Linked DNA regions of Arabidopsis thaliana. The protein of the gene in region 2 purifies or fractionates together with the protein of the main gene of each other region. This does not show direct contact. Each region holds a gene or a part of one and is shown on either strand. Other genes may lie near its edges.

Region 1 (6,661 bases), on a different chromosome or scaffold from region 2:
AACAGGTTCTTAACTTCCCCAGATTCTTCGATCAAGTCCTCTGAATTTGGTAATTTTTGTAATTTCACATGCGGACTAGGTATTCGTCCAATTAGAGAAGTTAGGCTCGTAAGCTCACTGAGGTAGAAATGTAAATGAGTTCCTATTGAATGCATATGATGTGATCAATAACATACAAGAGATTTTGAGATAAGTGTTTAGCAGTTCTATGATTTTTTGGAGGAGAAGGATTATAAAATTCCATGTGGTATGATAACAGTTTGATTAATAGGACTAAGTTTTGGCTTGCTACTACAAAAAATTAGGACGCTACTTGGATTTAGCTCCTCTATGAACCTGTAGTGTTGTCTCGTTTACAAGAATCTGTTAAATTATCTTGAATTGGGTTTGTCTTTGGCTAATATCTCGTTTTTTTTGTTTATGAAAACAGAGATTTTATGGCTTTGCAATTTGCTTGTCAGCAGGTTTGACCTGTACACTTTTGGTAAGTATAACTCTCAAGTCTTAGCAATGTTAGAAAGCACTATCCTTATTTCTGCATTGAAAGGAATCATTTGATTGGTTTAGCTGTATTCTTCTTCTGTACTTTGGGTTGTCTTAGCTCTTTTACTGGTGATATAACTCTTTATCTCTTATTTGTTTGACGATGCAGTCGATGCTTGTTTTCTTTAATCCGGTCAAGTTTGGCATCACATTCACTCTGGGAAATTTGATGGCACTCGGGAGGTTCGTATTGGAATTTTGTGTAGCTTCTTGTTATATTGCATTGGTGTCGCAATTCTGTGTGTACAGTATTTCTCCATTTTTCTCTCTTTGTTCCTGGATTTTAAGTTTCATGTCACTTTTGTATGGCAGCACAGCATTCCTTATAGGCCCACAGCGGCAGGTGACTATGATGCTTGACCCAGCTCGTATCTACGCTACTGCATTGTATCTAGCAAGCATTATCATTGCCTTGTTTTGTGCTCTTTATGTAAGTGGGGTTTCTCAATTCAAAATACTGGATGCACAACATTGCTTATGTTCAGTTAAAACTAGGTAGTGAAAATGCCTTGTTGGACTAAATATAATCTGTCATCATCTTTCTGTACAGGTTCGCAACAAGCTTCTGACACTGCTGGCTATCATTCTTGAGTTCACTGGTCTAATTTGGTATGCTAAAACTTGCTTTCAAGCTCTTACATTTTTATCCTAACTTTCTTAGTAATACAATTACATGATATATACTCTTCGAATAGTATATTATCCCGAGTGGACCTAATGCTCCTTATACGGTTTCTGAGTTTGTCACAAAAGCTGTCAACATTCATCTTGGAGAATGAATCCCTTGTGTTCTTTAAAACTGCAGGTATAGCTTGAGCTACATCCCTTTTGCAAGAACCATGGTCTCAAAGATCTTCATGACTTGTTTTGACACCGAGTTTTAAGCTACAGTTTACACACATCAGGTCAAAGATTTCTTGTTCCAAAACCTTGATGCTCTGGCTGAACGATTGGTCAATCTCCTCCAAATGTGTTCAAAGCAGGACTTGTTTGATGCACCGGTAACGTGCCATGCCCTTTATGGCTTATAATTGCCTCTTTACATCAAGTTCACGTCTTCACAAATCCTAGCACAGTTTTTTGTATATTTGCTGTGGAACTTAACGTAGATTTGGATGTTATTGCTGTTTGCTACAAAATTAAGATGTTAACTTCACTTGTTTTAGTTTCATTGTCATGGTTACGCTAAAGACTTAATCCAGGAGGGAAATTGCATATTCTTATCAAAAGCACTTAACTTGAAAGTTGCAGCATAAAATCTAAAAATGGGAGGAAAATAAAATCTGAAAATAATATGCAAAGAAATAGAAATCGATCCCTGCCCTTAACGAACGAAATCACATAGTACAGTACAACCTTGTAAAAAGCTAGCAGATAAAAAGAGAACATTCAGTAGAAGCCAAAGAGATGCAGAAGAACAAAGCTCAATGACTTGAAGCGGCTGGAGAAGTAAGCTCTCTAGAAGACAACAGTGTCGAGCATAGTGCCTAGTGTCTGAACAATGTTGGATGACATGAGGTTCGAGACATGTTCTTCCAGATGCTTCTTTGCATCTTGTCTTCCCACATTCACAATTGCCAGCTTCTCTGGTGACAACTCGTCCTCCTCTTGAACCGCCTTGTTATATTTAGCAGCCAAGCTCAACATCTCCTGTTAAACAGGAGATAATGAAAATGTCAATGAACATGATTGTAGAATATGCTTGAACAGATAAAAACATAACCCTGTGTTTCTTTACCTGGACCGTCTGTTCGTTGGTCTTGGAGTGGGTGTCAAAGCGTCTTAGCGTCAGACCATCTGTCCATTTCTTCTTGTGGAGGTTGAGTAACATCTTCTCCTCAAGCTCGTTCTTCCTATAGTTGATTGCTATTGAGTAATAGTGTCTGTTCAACCCGTGAATCAAAGCCTGCATAGTAGTATCCAAAAGTCAGTATCAGAGAAAACCTTTGATTTCGTTTCAACTTAAAAACAGGACACATTCAGTTAGTGATAATCACCTGGATCGATGGTTTGTTCAAGTGCCCAAGGTTCGATGTTGTTTGACGGGGTTCCTGCCCAAGCATAATGGTCTGTGGATTTATGGAGCGGAACGCATCAATCACCACCTTTCCTTTCACACTCTGAATCGGATCTACCACCACTGCTACAGCTCGCTGATTCAAAGCTTCAAAACTCTACAAAAGCACACAGATATTCACAATGAACATATATAATACAAAGTGAATCACAACAGGGTATAGAACACAATGAGTAACATTCTATTTAGTTTTTTGAGCCATCAATAAAGCAAACAACAAATTCTCAAGTGCAATTCACAAATTGATAAGTATGCAAACAGAGCAAACAAAACTCTACCTGTTGAGTATTAATGTCAACCCCAGAAAGCCAGCAGCCGAATCCAGGATGTGAATGATACCAACCAACCACCATCTCAGGTCTGAAACAAGATACAAGAAGAATCAGATCCAAAACCTAAATAGGAAACCTCACTTAAGCGTAGTAAATAGGTTTAGAGAAGAACTAGTTACCTTCCGGTCTGTTTAAGCATGTCGAGCATATTAGTCTGGAAAACATGATCAACAGCTTCAACACTAACACCAGTACCACTCTGAGGCATCGCAAAAACATCCACAACCCTAACAGTGTATTCATCCACAAACTCTCCAAGCATCAATCCCATGACTTCCATAGGAACACCAGCTCTTCCTGCAATATTCCGATCAATTTTCATTAAATCTCTACTCAAATCCGCATTTTGAATCTCAGAAACAGATCGAATAAAACCCTAGAGTTCCAGAGCAAAAGAGGACGAGAGTAAAATCACAGAGAACGAGACAAAATCATAAAACCCTAAGCAAGAGAAGACTAAATTAGAGCTTGGGTTTGGATTGATTACCGTGCTTAAGCATCTTGAGGAGAGCGAGAGAAGAGATGTAAACCTGCTCCGATGTATCGAGAGTCGGAGAATCAGGCGATGCGTGACCTAAACCGCCACCAGCTCCGAAGATTCTCTGTAGTCTCTCCATAATCAGATGAATTGATTAGTCGTCTTCTTCGAAAGTTTGTTCTTCTGGGTTTTTGCTACAAGAATGGGATCTTATAAGAAAACCTTTCTCAGTTTTCTTTGTTAACAAGACAGACGAAGATGGATCGAATTACTCGATTAGGCGACACTAATTACATATAAGTCCTTCAATATTTCCTTTTATTTATTGTAACCAATAATTCACCAAATTTCCAAATCATCCCCAAAAATAAAAGTTAATAACCAATTTGAATTTCCATATTTTTTTTGTCAAAATTTTAAATTTCATTACAATGCAAATCATGTCATTGTGTTAATATTGTTAATTCGGTTGCATAATATAAATCTACTTTACTTAGAGCTTATAGTTTTCGTTTTATGTTTAGACTTCTGGCTAGTGTATATACAATAACTAAACATGTAAATATTGAACTGTTTTCCAGACGGATTTTATTTGGCACCTTGAAAGTTCACAAGATCAATGAAAGAAAAAAGGAAAACGACTCCGTTTCAGTCATGATCAAAGGTTCTCCAACAAAACCTCACAGCTCTAGACCGAAATCAAACTCTAATGGATGGGAAAAAGAAGAATCCTTTTTGAGAGCAGGCAACATTTTCCAAACGAAACTGTAGAGAGGTTTCAACTCAAAGATCAGGCATGCCCTTTCCAGTTTTAGCATCATATGTCTGCTCCCAGACAAACTCCATTGGTGTGTCCTTAGGGCCAGCTGCAAAGAGAAAAGTATGAATCCTTCTATAAGAAAACCGCTACTATCAAGTTTGTTGATTATGTTGATAGCAAACGAATTATGTTGATTCTATGTTTATCTTATAGCCGATCTATGATTATGTTTTTTTCTCAGATAGCTAACAGACTTCCACTATATATTTCCAAAATCCAACGTTTAAAGAGATATTGAGCTTCTATGTACCAGTTGTGGGTCGCGGCGTTGCCCTTATCTTTAGAATCTCTGGTCGGGGAATTATGGAACCAGATGTGCCAGTGCCTCTGGCTACTCTTACTTTTGTTCCATCTTCTAGGTATTTTACACCAACCTTACAAGGCCTCCTGTGGTAGAAAAGATAATAGATTAATAAGTGATCTCTCGCTTGAGCAAAAGAGTAATTGGAGACAGTAGTGCAGAGTGAAATCATACCCAGTGACAGGATCAACAACTTGGACATTTGAGGCGTGAAGAGGAGCCTCTACAGTGAAAATTCCACCTTCGTGATCAGGGCCTCCCTTTATATGTTTCTTGATCTGAGAACACAGGAAAAAAAAAGCATCAGCGAAAAACATATACAAGCTTCAGTGAGTAGACAAAGACTATCCCAGCAGCAAGGTAGAACATCCAAAACGATAACAGTTTCAAGATAAACAATTCAAAAGAATTGTGTAGCGAAATCCATGGAACTAGAGTCGCTTTGTGATTTAGTAACCGTCTACTTGATGCTTGGATTAAAAAAATGAGAATCAAATGAAAATTGATAACTCTATGGTTGGTGTTGAGCTAGTGATATGATATTGATTCAGTACTAGTTCATACTCTACAAACCAAATCAAGAACAAAAAAATCAAAAAATGAACTTGTACATTCATTCTCTAAATGCATGAGACAGAGCGAACAAAAGATATCCAGAACAAGACTATCTCACCAGATTCTTCCCTTCAACGATGACACGATTTTGGGATCGAATGACACGCTTTATGGTTCCAGTCTCACCCTTATCTTTCCCACGAATTATCATTACCTGCACATAAAATCATACCCCAGAAACAACAGATCAAAAATGAAACCAAACTAATGAACACCACAAGAAGAACATGAGTGGTGTACTCACATTGTCTCCTCGAAGTATCTTCCAGTGTCTGATGAGTTTCTCAGCAGCTTTCCAGCCCATAGCTGCTACTCTCTTTGAGAATAATCCTAAAAATTACATCACAACAAATTCACGTCTTTCTTCTAACAAAAAAAACAACGAGAAACGGAAAGCATGAAGAATCCAAATCAAAGAAATTGAAAATGGCAGGGCCAATTTCGAGGGTTTTCAACTGCGGAAAGCCACCTAAATTAGGGTTTTTTCACGTCAAAGATACGCAACCAAAAAATTTATACATAATTCCGATCTAATTCGAAAAGGGAGAAAATTGATGATTAGAAATGATATCGCCGAAATTGACAATTAGGATGCGAAAACAAGTTTGGTCTAATAGAAGAAGCTTGCCTCTGAGAATTAATCGAGAGATCGAGGAAGAGGAAACCAATGGAGTTGAAGCTTTTTTGTTTTCCGCCGACGGTGCAGGCAGCGTTAACCACGGTGGCGAAGAAGTCGTCAGTATTTTGATTGTGAGTGTAAAAAAGATAAACCCTAAAACCTCTCATGTCTTCAAACATTAAAACGACACCGCATTCGCAATTTGGCCAAAAAAATTATAAGTCACTAACTAATTAGGTATTAACGATTTTAATTAATTGGGATGAGACGATATATGCTCTGTTTTCTTTTCTTTACTAGAGATGCACTGTTGATGTATTATTAGAGACCAAATTTTTTGTATTCCGATGTGTTAGAAGTTCACATTTTTATATGGTTTGAACTTGGAAGGTAACTACGGGATTAAATATGCCTGGATTATATCGTGTATCTAAATCATGATGGTGTAAATTCGTTCTTGTTTTGCTTTTTGCTTTGAATGGATGTTGTAGTTAGTGCGGACTAATCCGTAGCGGTTTAGTCCATACCATTTTTGGGTCGGACAACAAACCGATGCGGACTTAGTTTAAAGACTGTCCGCAGTTAGTCCGATGCGGTTGTCTTCTATTTTTTTTAAGTATGTACTATTACGGATTATAATTTATGAATGGTAAATAAAAAGCGGTCCGGTCTATAAACGGTTTTGTCTGTTTGGACCGCTGTAATCATTCAAAGTTTGTTTTTACAAATTTACCCATGACCACTGTTGAATCTAACATAGAGAAGAATTGAATGAGATTGAAAATTAGTTGATGCAGGTTTCTGACATTAGAAATTACTTGCCTCCTGCAACATGTACATTGATTGAATCTACTTGCTCTTATGTGACTCCATTGC
Region 2 (7,768 bases):
GATATTTTGTCTTGAAATTGTTATGGTTTAGTCAATTTATTGATAATTTTGTCTTTTGGGTGAATTTTCAGATGAAAATAAATTGGAGAAAACTATGAAACCTATATGCACCAAGCTAGCAAGAACAGAGTTCTGTGAATTAAACGGCGACGTAAGAGTCCACGGTAAGTCCGCGACTGTTTCTGCTGCGATCACGTTTGCGTTTTCGGGAAATTCCACGTGGCATATAAGACCTTACGCGCGAAAAGGTGACACGGTGGCAATGAAGCGCGTGAGAGAATGGACGGTGAAATTGGAACAAAACGCTGACCAATTAGAAAACGCTAATTTCTCGCGTTGCGTTAGGAATCACAGCGTTCCGGCGATGATTTTCTCTCTCGGAGGCTACTCGATGAACAATTTCCACGATTTCACCGATATAGTGATTCCTCTGTACACGACGGCGCGTCGATTCAACGGAGAAGTACAGTTTCTCGTGACGAACAAGAGTCCATCGTGGATCAACAAATTTAAGGAATTAGTGAGGAAACTCTCTAATTACGAAGTGATTTACATCGACGAAGAAGACGAAACGCATTGTTTCAGCAGCGTCACCGTCGGTCTCACTCGCCACCGTGAGTATTTCAAAGAGTTGACGATCGATCCTTCGAATTCGGAGTATTCAATGTCCGATTTCCGGAGTTTTCTAAGAGACACCTACTCGTTGAGAAACGACGCCGTGGCTACGAGACAGATCCGGCGGCGGAGGCCACGGATTCTGATTTTGGCTAGAGGCAGATCGCGAGCGTTCGTAAACACCGGCGAAATCGCGAGAGCGGCGAGACAGATCGGATTCAAAGTCGTGGTGGCGGAAGCGAACATCGGAATCGCGAAATTCGCGCAAACGGTGAATTCCTGCGACGTGATGCTCGGCGTTCACGGCGCGGGGCTGACGAACATGGTGTTCTTGCCGGAGAACGCGGTGGTGATTCAGGTTCTTCCGATCGGTGGATTCGAGTGGCTTGCGAAAACGGATTTTGAGAAACCTTCGGAGGGAATGAATCTGAGGTACTTGGAGTACAAGATCGCGGTGGAGGAGAGCACGCTGGTGAAGAAGTACGGACGCGACCACGAAATCGTGAGAGATCCATCGGCGGTTGCAAAACACGGGTGGGAAATGTTCAAATCGGTTTATTTGGTACAACAGAACGTGAGTATTGATATAAACCGGTTCAAGCCGGTTCTTGTCAAAGCTCTTGAGTTATTGTAGAGAGCCTAGAGGCAGTCGATGTAAATCATATATTTACCGCATCCATATACTGTAAATTCTTGTAGTTGGAATGTTGGATCGTAATATTGTTATCATAAAACAATTATATTTATCGAAATTTCTGAACTGTCAGTTATTATTCTGATGAGGCTCAATCGACTAACCAGAGTAAACCGATATCGATTAGAAAAAGAATTATGTGGCTTACACTAAATTTTATGTAACTTTTTACAGTTTTTTGGTCAGCTTTAATCTGTTTTGAATAGCTTTTCCCCCATTTAACGGATATTTTTGTCATGCTTTCTTTCCTTCTCTTATTTTGGTTGCAAATTAAATTGCATGTTTTAATGATTTCTGTAATTTTGATATGGAGCTAAATGACTCATCACTAACTCAATATGAAGCAAATAAAGAAAAAACTCCCAAGACTTCTCCTTCTTCCTTAAACTCTACCAATATAAGATCGAACCACTTTGAACATGCTCTAGCTAGTTCTCTTCTTTAAACCAGTACCCTTTATATTCATTCTCAATAACTAAAACGTTATAGTGAAAAAAAAAACACAGATAATATCGTCAAACAAATTCTTAAATACCTCACATAATCCTCTCGCTCTCCCACCTAGCTTGACCTTCATATCTCTACATTAGCCAGTAAACTCTGATTATAGAGTTTCTTGCTGAAGAAGAAAGAAAAGTTTTGTGTAACTTAAGAGTCAAGAGATGACAAAGAAGGATATTCTTTACGATACAGTACTTGCTCGTAGTTTTAGCAAAACTGATCAGAAGAGACTTTGCTGTGGAGCTTTCATTGCCTCTCTTCTCTTGGTCCTCACTCTTTGCACTGTCGTTAAACCTTATCTCAGCCCTTTACCAATCGGTAAGTCTCTTACCACGTTTTGCCGAAAAGCCAGATAACGCAAAAACAATCATTTTAACGTGTATCTCTTTCTTTCTTTCTTCAGTGGAGTTACAGTTATCAGTTGGCACTGGTCTAAGGATGCTGAGTATAACAGAATTAACTACCAACACTACAATCTCCAAAGAAGAAGTTATTTCAGGTCAATATACTTCAGAATTTTCTCTACAATTGTCTTGTTATGGTTTTTAGTCATTTTCTGTATAGTATGATACAGTTTGTTCTTTTGATTTTGTCCTGACTGAATCTTCAGAGTGCAATAAAATGGAGAAACCTATCTGTCACTGTAACACACTAGGAAGCAAAGAGTTTTGCGATGTAAGCGGCGACGTAAGAATCCATGGTAAATCCGCAACTGTTCTTGCGGCGGTCACGTTTGCGTTTTCCGGGAATTCCACGTGGTATATGAGACCTTATGCGAGAAAAGACCAAGTTCCTGCCATGAAACGCGTGAGAGAATGGACGGTGAAATTAGTACAAAACGCTAGTTTATCACGCTGCGTTAGGAATCACAGCGTTCCGGCGATTCTTTTCTCTCTCGGAGGCTTCTCGTTGAACAATTTCCATGATTTCACGGACATCGTGATTCCTCTGTACACGACGGCGCGTAGATTCAGCGGTGAAGTTCAGTTCCTCGTGACGAACAAGAATCTTTTGTGGATCAACAAATTTAAGGAATTAGTGAGGAAACTCTCTAATTACGAAGTGATTTACATCGACGAAGAAGACGAAACGCATTGTTTCAGCAGCGTCATCGTTGGTCTCAATCGCCACCGTGATTATGACAAAGAGCTAACGACTGATCCTTCGAATTCGGAGTATTCAATGTCCGATTTCCGGAAATTCCTCAGAGACACATACTCATTGAGAAACTCCGCCGTGACTACGAGGCGGAAGCCACGGATTCTGATTTTGTCTAGGAGCAGATCGCGAGCGTTTGTGAACGCGGGTGAAATCGCTAGAGCGGCGAGACAAATCGGATTTAAAGTCGTGGTGGCGGAAGCAAACACGGAAATCGCGAGTTTCGCAATAACTGTGAACTCCTGTGACGTGATGCTCGGCGTTCACGGCGCGGGGATGACGAACATGGTGTTCTTACCTGATAACGCGATCGTGATTCAGATTCTTCCGATCGGTGGATTCGAGTGGCTTGCAAAGATGGATTTCGAGTATCCGTCGAAGGGCATGAATCTGAGGTATTTGGAGTACAAGATCACGGCGGAGGAGAGCACACTGGTGAAGCAGTACGGACGCGATCACGAGTTCGTTAGAGATCCATTGGCCGTTGCAAAACGCGGGTGGGGAACTTTCAAGTCGGTTTATTTGGTACAGCAGAACGTTAGCGTTGATATAAACCGGTTCAAGCTGGTTCTTGTCAAAGCTCTTGAGCTATTGCATAATCAGTCAGTGTAAATAAGTAACTTTCAAGCATTCGTGTACTGTAATCTTGGGAACGAAATAATTACCAGATCATTTGGTCTAGTTTAGATTTTTCTCAAATTTGTTTAACCGTCCCCTTAACAAACACTCAAGTCTGAAGTCTGAACCAATAACTGGGCCTTTTGGGCTAACTCATAAAAACTCAAAACAGGCCCATTTATCAAACAATAGCGTATACCCTAGGGCTTTTTTCAAATTCTCTATTCTCTCTTTCATTTCCAGAACACTCTTGTCACACTTCCATTTAGGGTTTTCTGCAAATTTCTCCGTTCGAGATCAATTCCGTCGAGATCTCAAGCTCTCTCACTCGTAGTAAAAAAATGGCGGCGGTAGCGGCACCAATGGCTTCGAAGCCCCGTGGATCTAAAGCTGAATCGTTCGTAGACAACAAGCGGAGAGAAGATATCCGATTCGCGAACATCAACTCTGCTCGAGCAGTCTCTGACGCCGTCCGTACTAGTTTGGGACCGAAAGGAATGGACAAGATGATTTCCACGGCGAACGGAGAGGTAATCATTACTAACGATGGAGCTACGATCCTTAACAAGATGGAGGTTTTGCAGCCAGCGGCGAAGATGTTAGTCGAGCTTTCCAAATCTCAAGATTCAGCCGCCGGAGATGGTACCACAACTGTCGTAGTAATCGCCGGTGCGCTTCTCAAGGAGTGTCAATCGCTTCTCACAAACGGGATCCACCCTACTGTCATTTCAGATTCGCTTCACAAGGCGTGTGGTAAGGCGATCGATATTTTGACTGCCATGGCTGTTCCAGTGGAGCTCACTGATAGAGATTCACTTGTGAAATCTGCGAGCACATCGCTTAACAGTAAGGTTGTTAGTCAGTACTCTACATTGCTTGCTCCTTTAGCTGTAGATGCGGTTCTCTCTGTTATAGATCCGGAAAAGCCTGAGATTGTGGATTTGCGTGATATTAAGATTGTTAAGAAGCTTGGTGGGACTGTGGATGATACACATACTGTGAAAGGTTTGGTTTTTGATAAGAAGGTTAGCCGTGCTGCTGGTGGACCGACTCGTGTGGAGAATGCTAAGATTGCTGTGATTCAGTTCCAGATCTCACCTCCTAAGACTGATATCGAGCAGAGTATTGTTGTCTCTGATTATACTCAGATGGATAGGATCTTGAAAGAAGAGAGGAATTACATATTGGGGATGATTAAGAAGATCAAAGCAACTGGTTGCAATGTGTTGTTGATTCAGAAGAGTATTTTGAGGGATGCAGTGACTGATCTATCTCTTCACTATTTGGCCAAAGCTAAGATTATGGTTATTAAGGATGTTGAGAGAGATGAGATTGAATTTGTCACCAAGACATTGAACTGCTTGCCTATCGCCAATATTGAGCATTTCAGAGCTGAGAAGCTTGGCCATGCTGATCTTGTTGAGGAGGCCTCCCTTGGAGATGGAAAGATTTTGAAGATCACTGGTATCAAGGACATGGGGAGAACTACATCTGTTCTAGTTCGTGGCTCCAACCAGCTTGTTCTAGATGAAGCTGAAAGGAGTTTACATGATGCCTTGTGTGTGGTTAGGTGTCTAGTGAGCAAAAGGTTTTTGATTGCAGGAGGTGGTGCACCAGAGATTGAGCTCTCAAGGCAGCTCGGTGCTTGGGCTAAGGTGCTACATGGGATGGAAGGTTACTGTGTGAAGTCTTTTGCTGAAGCTCTCGAAGTTATTCCTTACACACTAGCCGAGAATGCAGGGTTAAACCCTATCGCCATTGTGACTGAACTCAGGAACAAGCATGCTCAAGGGGAAATCAACGCAGGGATCAATGTGAGGAAAGGACAGATCACTAACATCTTGGAGGAAAATGTTGTTCAGCCTCTGCTTGTGAGTACCAGTGCGATCACTTTAGCAACTGAATGCGTTAGGATGATTTTGAAGATTGATGACATCGTAACTGTGAGGTAGTGTGGTAGTTTCTTTCAAAACAGGTCCCAGAACACTTCTATTGCTCTATCTAAGCTTTTGTTTCGTTTTTTTCATGTGTTGTGCTTGCACAATGGTTTTGAACTTAGACTCCCTTTTCTTGCAACATGTGCTATTGCAGTTAAGTGGCTTTATTTGTGGTTTAGTGCGATTGTATTTCTTTCTAGTGACTTGTGATATCAAGATCTCTCAGTTTTTTTTGTTTCATATGTTGATTTAGTTTTGGTTATGAAAGTCCAAATGGTAGGAGTAGAAACAGAACTTTAATTACTGGGACTCAAATATTTGATGCATGATGGGTCACAAAATCAGTTGCCTATCTGGTTAATCATAGACTGGGTCACAAATGTTATAGATTCGTTGTATGAAAGATTAAGACAGTACACAGTTGCATGAACATGAGTTCTCCAGGTCATTGGTCTGTCTCCAACCAGACCGGATCAGAACATTTGCTTCTCTATTGTCAACTTTGATTTAATGTTACCATCTTTTCATTTTTATTCATAAATAAATTGCAACCCAATTTTGATTACAACTCAAAAGTAAACGACTAGGATATCAATTGTATGAGAGACCCACTTGAGGAGCCTGTGTGTTGGCCAAGTTCTTGTATGTGTATGTACAGAGAAGTAATGCGTTGTGTTTGCAGCACTTTTACACTTCAGATTCAGAATTACTCTTCTTGTGTTGTGCCTCAAGTAGATGTTTGGTCAGTGACTCTGGATCTTGTTGACTCTCTTCAAGAGCCAGTTTTCTTTCTTCGTTTTTGCCCCAAAGAACTAAGTAGAGCCCTAGCATTATAAACACTGCACCAACAATCCTGCAAAGCCAAAAAGATTCTATTAGATCGAGTAATCGAGAGAAACAAAACCCGATACATCCCGTTTTCAATGCGCTTACCCTCCCGAGTATAACTGATCACCAAGAATAAGAAACGCCATCGCAGCAACAAGAAGTGTCTGGAGAGGCTGGAAAACAGCGACAAAAACTGGACCGCTTTTGTAGATACACCATGTTTGAAGATAAACCACCAACCCTGACGCTATTATTCCCTGTAAACACGGCCAAAGGAACATTCATTTAGCTAATTTCCATTGATTCAGATCAAGGAAAAGGAAGAGAGAGAGACAGAGGGAGGGAGCTTACGGCGTATAGGATGGTGAAGAGCTCTTCCCAAGAGACGATGATCCAATTATTTAGATCAGTTTCCACAAAGAGAGCAATAACCAGAAACTGAATCAGACCAAAGAAACATGTGAAGGATGTTAAAGTGAGCTTCGCCGGGTATTGCTTTAGAACAGGAGCTTGAAGAACCATCCAACCAGCCCATGACAGACAATGTCCCATAAGGTATAACCATCCGAGTGTCAAGCTGTGCGAGTTGTCAGATCCGACCACCTCTTCCTTTTGCATGTTAAGGCCCTGGTCAAATATCGGAAATCCTCTGTACAATGTGATCACGGTGGCTCCACCGATGCTCACAAGAGTTCCCAATACTTTTGCCACACCATGTTTCCTGACCAGGTCTATGTGCTCTAGCCTTGATTCATAGAGGAAGATCAATGTTAGACCCAGCCATGAAAATGATTAGAATGGTATTTCTAGGAGGACGAAGTTGCTAGGGTACCTTAAGGCACAAGCCATGATGAAAGTGATGGCAGGAACAGAGTTCTGCATTGCGGAAGCAAAAGTTGGAGTTGCATAGTAAAGTCCTAATAGGTAGAATCCTTGGTTCGCTGTGATGCTGATGTTAAAATACACAAGCAAAGTTTCAGCATTATAATCATTGATTTAAGGATTGAGGAATCGGTTCTTATTATTGTGTTCTCAGGTTAAGCTATACCCTATGAGTGCCAAGAAGAAGAACTGAGCCAGTAAAGAGATTGTAAGTGGAGGTCTTTCTTTTCTGTTGATAAACAAAGCATTGTAAGAGTACTATCAACCAAAGAATACAATATTCAAACTTGAGATCGTACCAAAAAGCCCTAGAGCTCTGAAAGATGTGGAGGCTTACTTTTCGAAGAAGTAAGCGAAGGGACCTATGAGGAGAAGGGCAAGGAGATTCCTATAAACAGGGTACACAACTTTGCTGACACCAATGTTAAGAGCAACTCTTGAGACAATGTGGAAGCCTGCGAAACAAAACTGAAGTGTGATCAATGCCACCACGAGCTTCACCTTCTCTGATACTACTCCTTTCCCCATTTTCTCT

What was found. Proteins that work in one complex are often made in the same cells at the same time.
Region 1: the proteins of AT3G18190 (region 2) and AT5G23540 fractionate together in Arabidopsis thaliana (co-fractionation; one large-scale study listed by BioGRID). This does not show direct contact.

Annotation. Positions count from the first base shown.
Region 1 is NC_003076.8:7,934,680-7,941,340, reverse strand, and holds AT5G23540 (Mov34/MPN/PAD-1 family protein), read right to left. Parts: upstream 3,712-6,661; 5' UTR 3,570-3,711; coding exon 3,440-3,569; intron 3,250-3,439; coding exon 3,072-3,249; intron 2,981-3,071; coding exon 2,899-2,980; intron 2,718-2,898; coding exon 2,541-2,717; intron 2,450-2,540; coding exon 2,282-2,449; intron 2,194-2,281; coding exon 2,002-2,193; 3' UTR 1,737-2,001; downstream 1-1,736. Other genes in the region: AT5G23550 (Got1/Sft2-like vescicle transport protein family), read left to right, coding at 1-5, 431-484, 653-726, 856-973, 1,094-1,152, 1,349-1,427; AT5G23535 (KOW domain-containing protein), read right to left, coding at 4,214-4,296, 4,501-4,637, 4,726-4,829, 5,225-5,320, 5,411-5,470. UniProt on the Arabidopsis thaliana protein: Metalloprotease component of the 26S proteasome that specifically cleaves 'Lys-63'-linked polyubiquitin chains. The 26S proteasome is involved in the ATP-dependent degradation of ubiquitinated proteins.
Region 2 is NC_003074.8:6,228,299-6,236,066, forward strand, and holds AT3G18190 (TCP-1/cpn60 chaperonin family protein), read left to right. Parts: upstream 1-3,809; 5' UTR 3,810-3,927; coding exon 3,928-5,538; 3' UTR 5,539-5,885; downstream 5,886-7,768. Other genes in the region: AT3G18170 (Glycosyltransferase family 61 protein), read left to right, coding at 72-1,249; AT3G18180 (Glycosyltransferase family 61 protein), read left to right, coding at 1,972-2,128, 2,214-2,309, 2,421-3,580; UMAMIT4 (nodulin MtN21 /EamA-like transporter family protein), read right to left, coding at 6,211-6,376, 6,457-6,608, 6,703-7,096, 7,184-7,300, 7,400-7,462, 7,571-7,768. UniProt on the Arabidopsis thaliana protein: Molecular chaperone; assists the folding of proteins upon ATP hydrolysis. Known to play a role, in vitro, in the folding of actin and tubulin.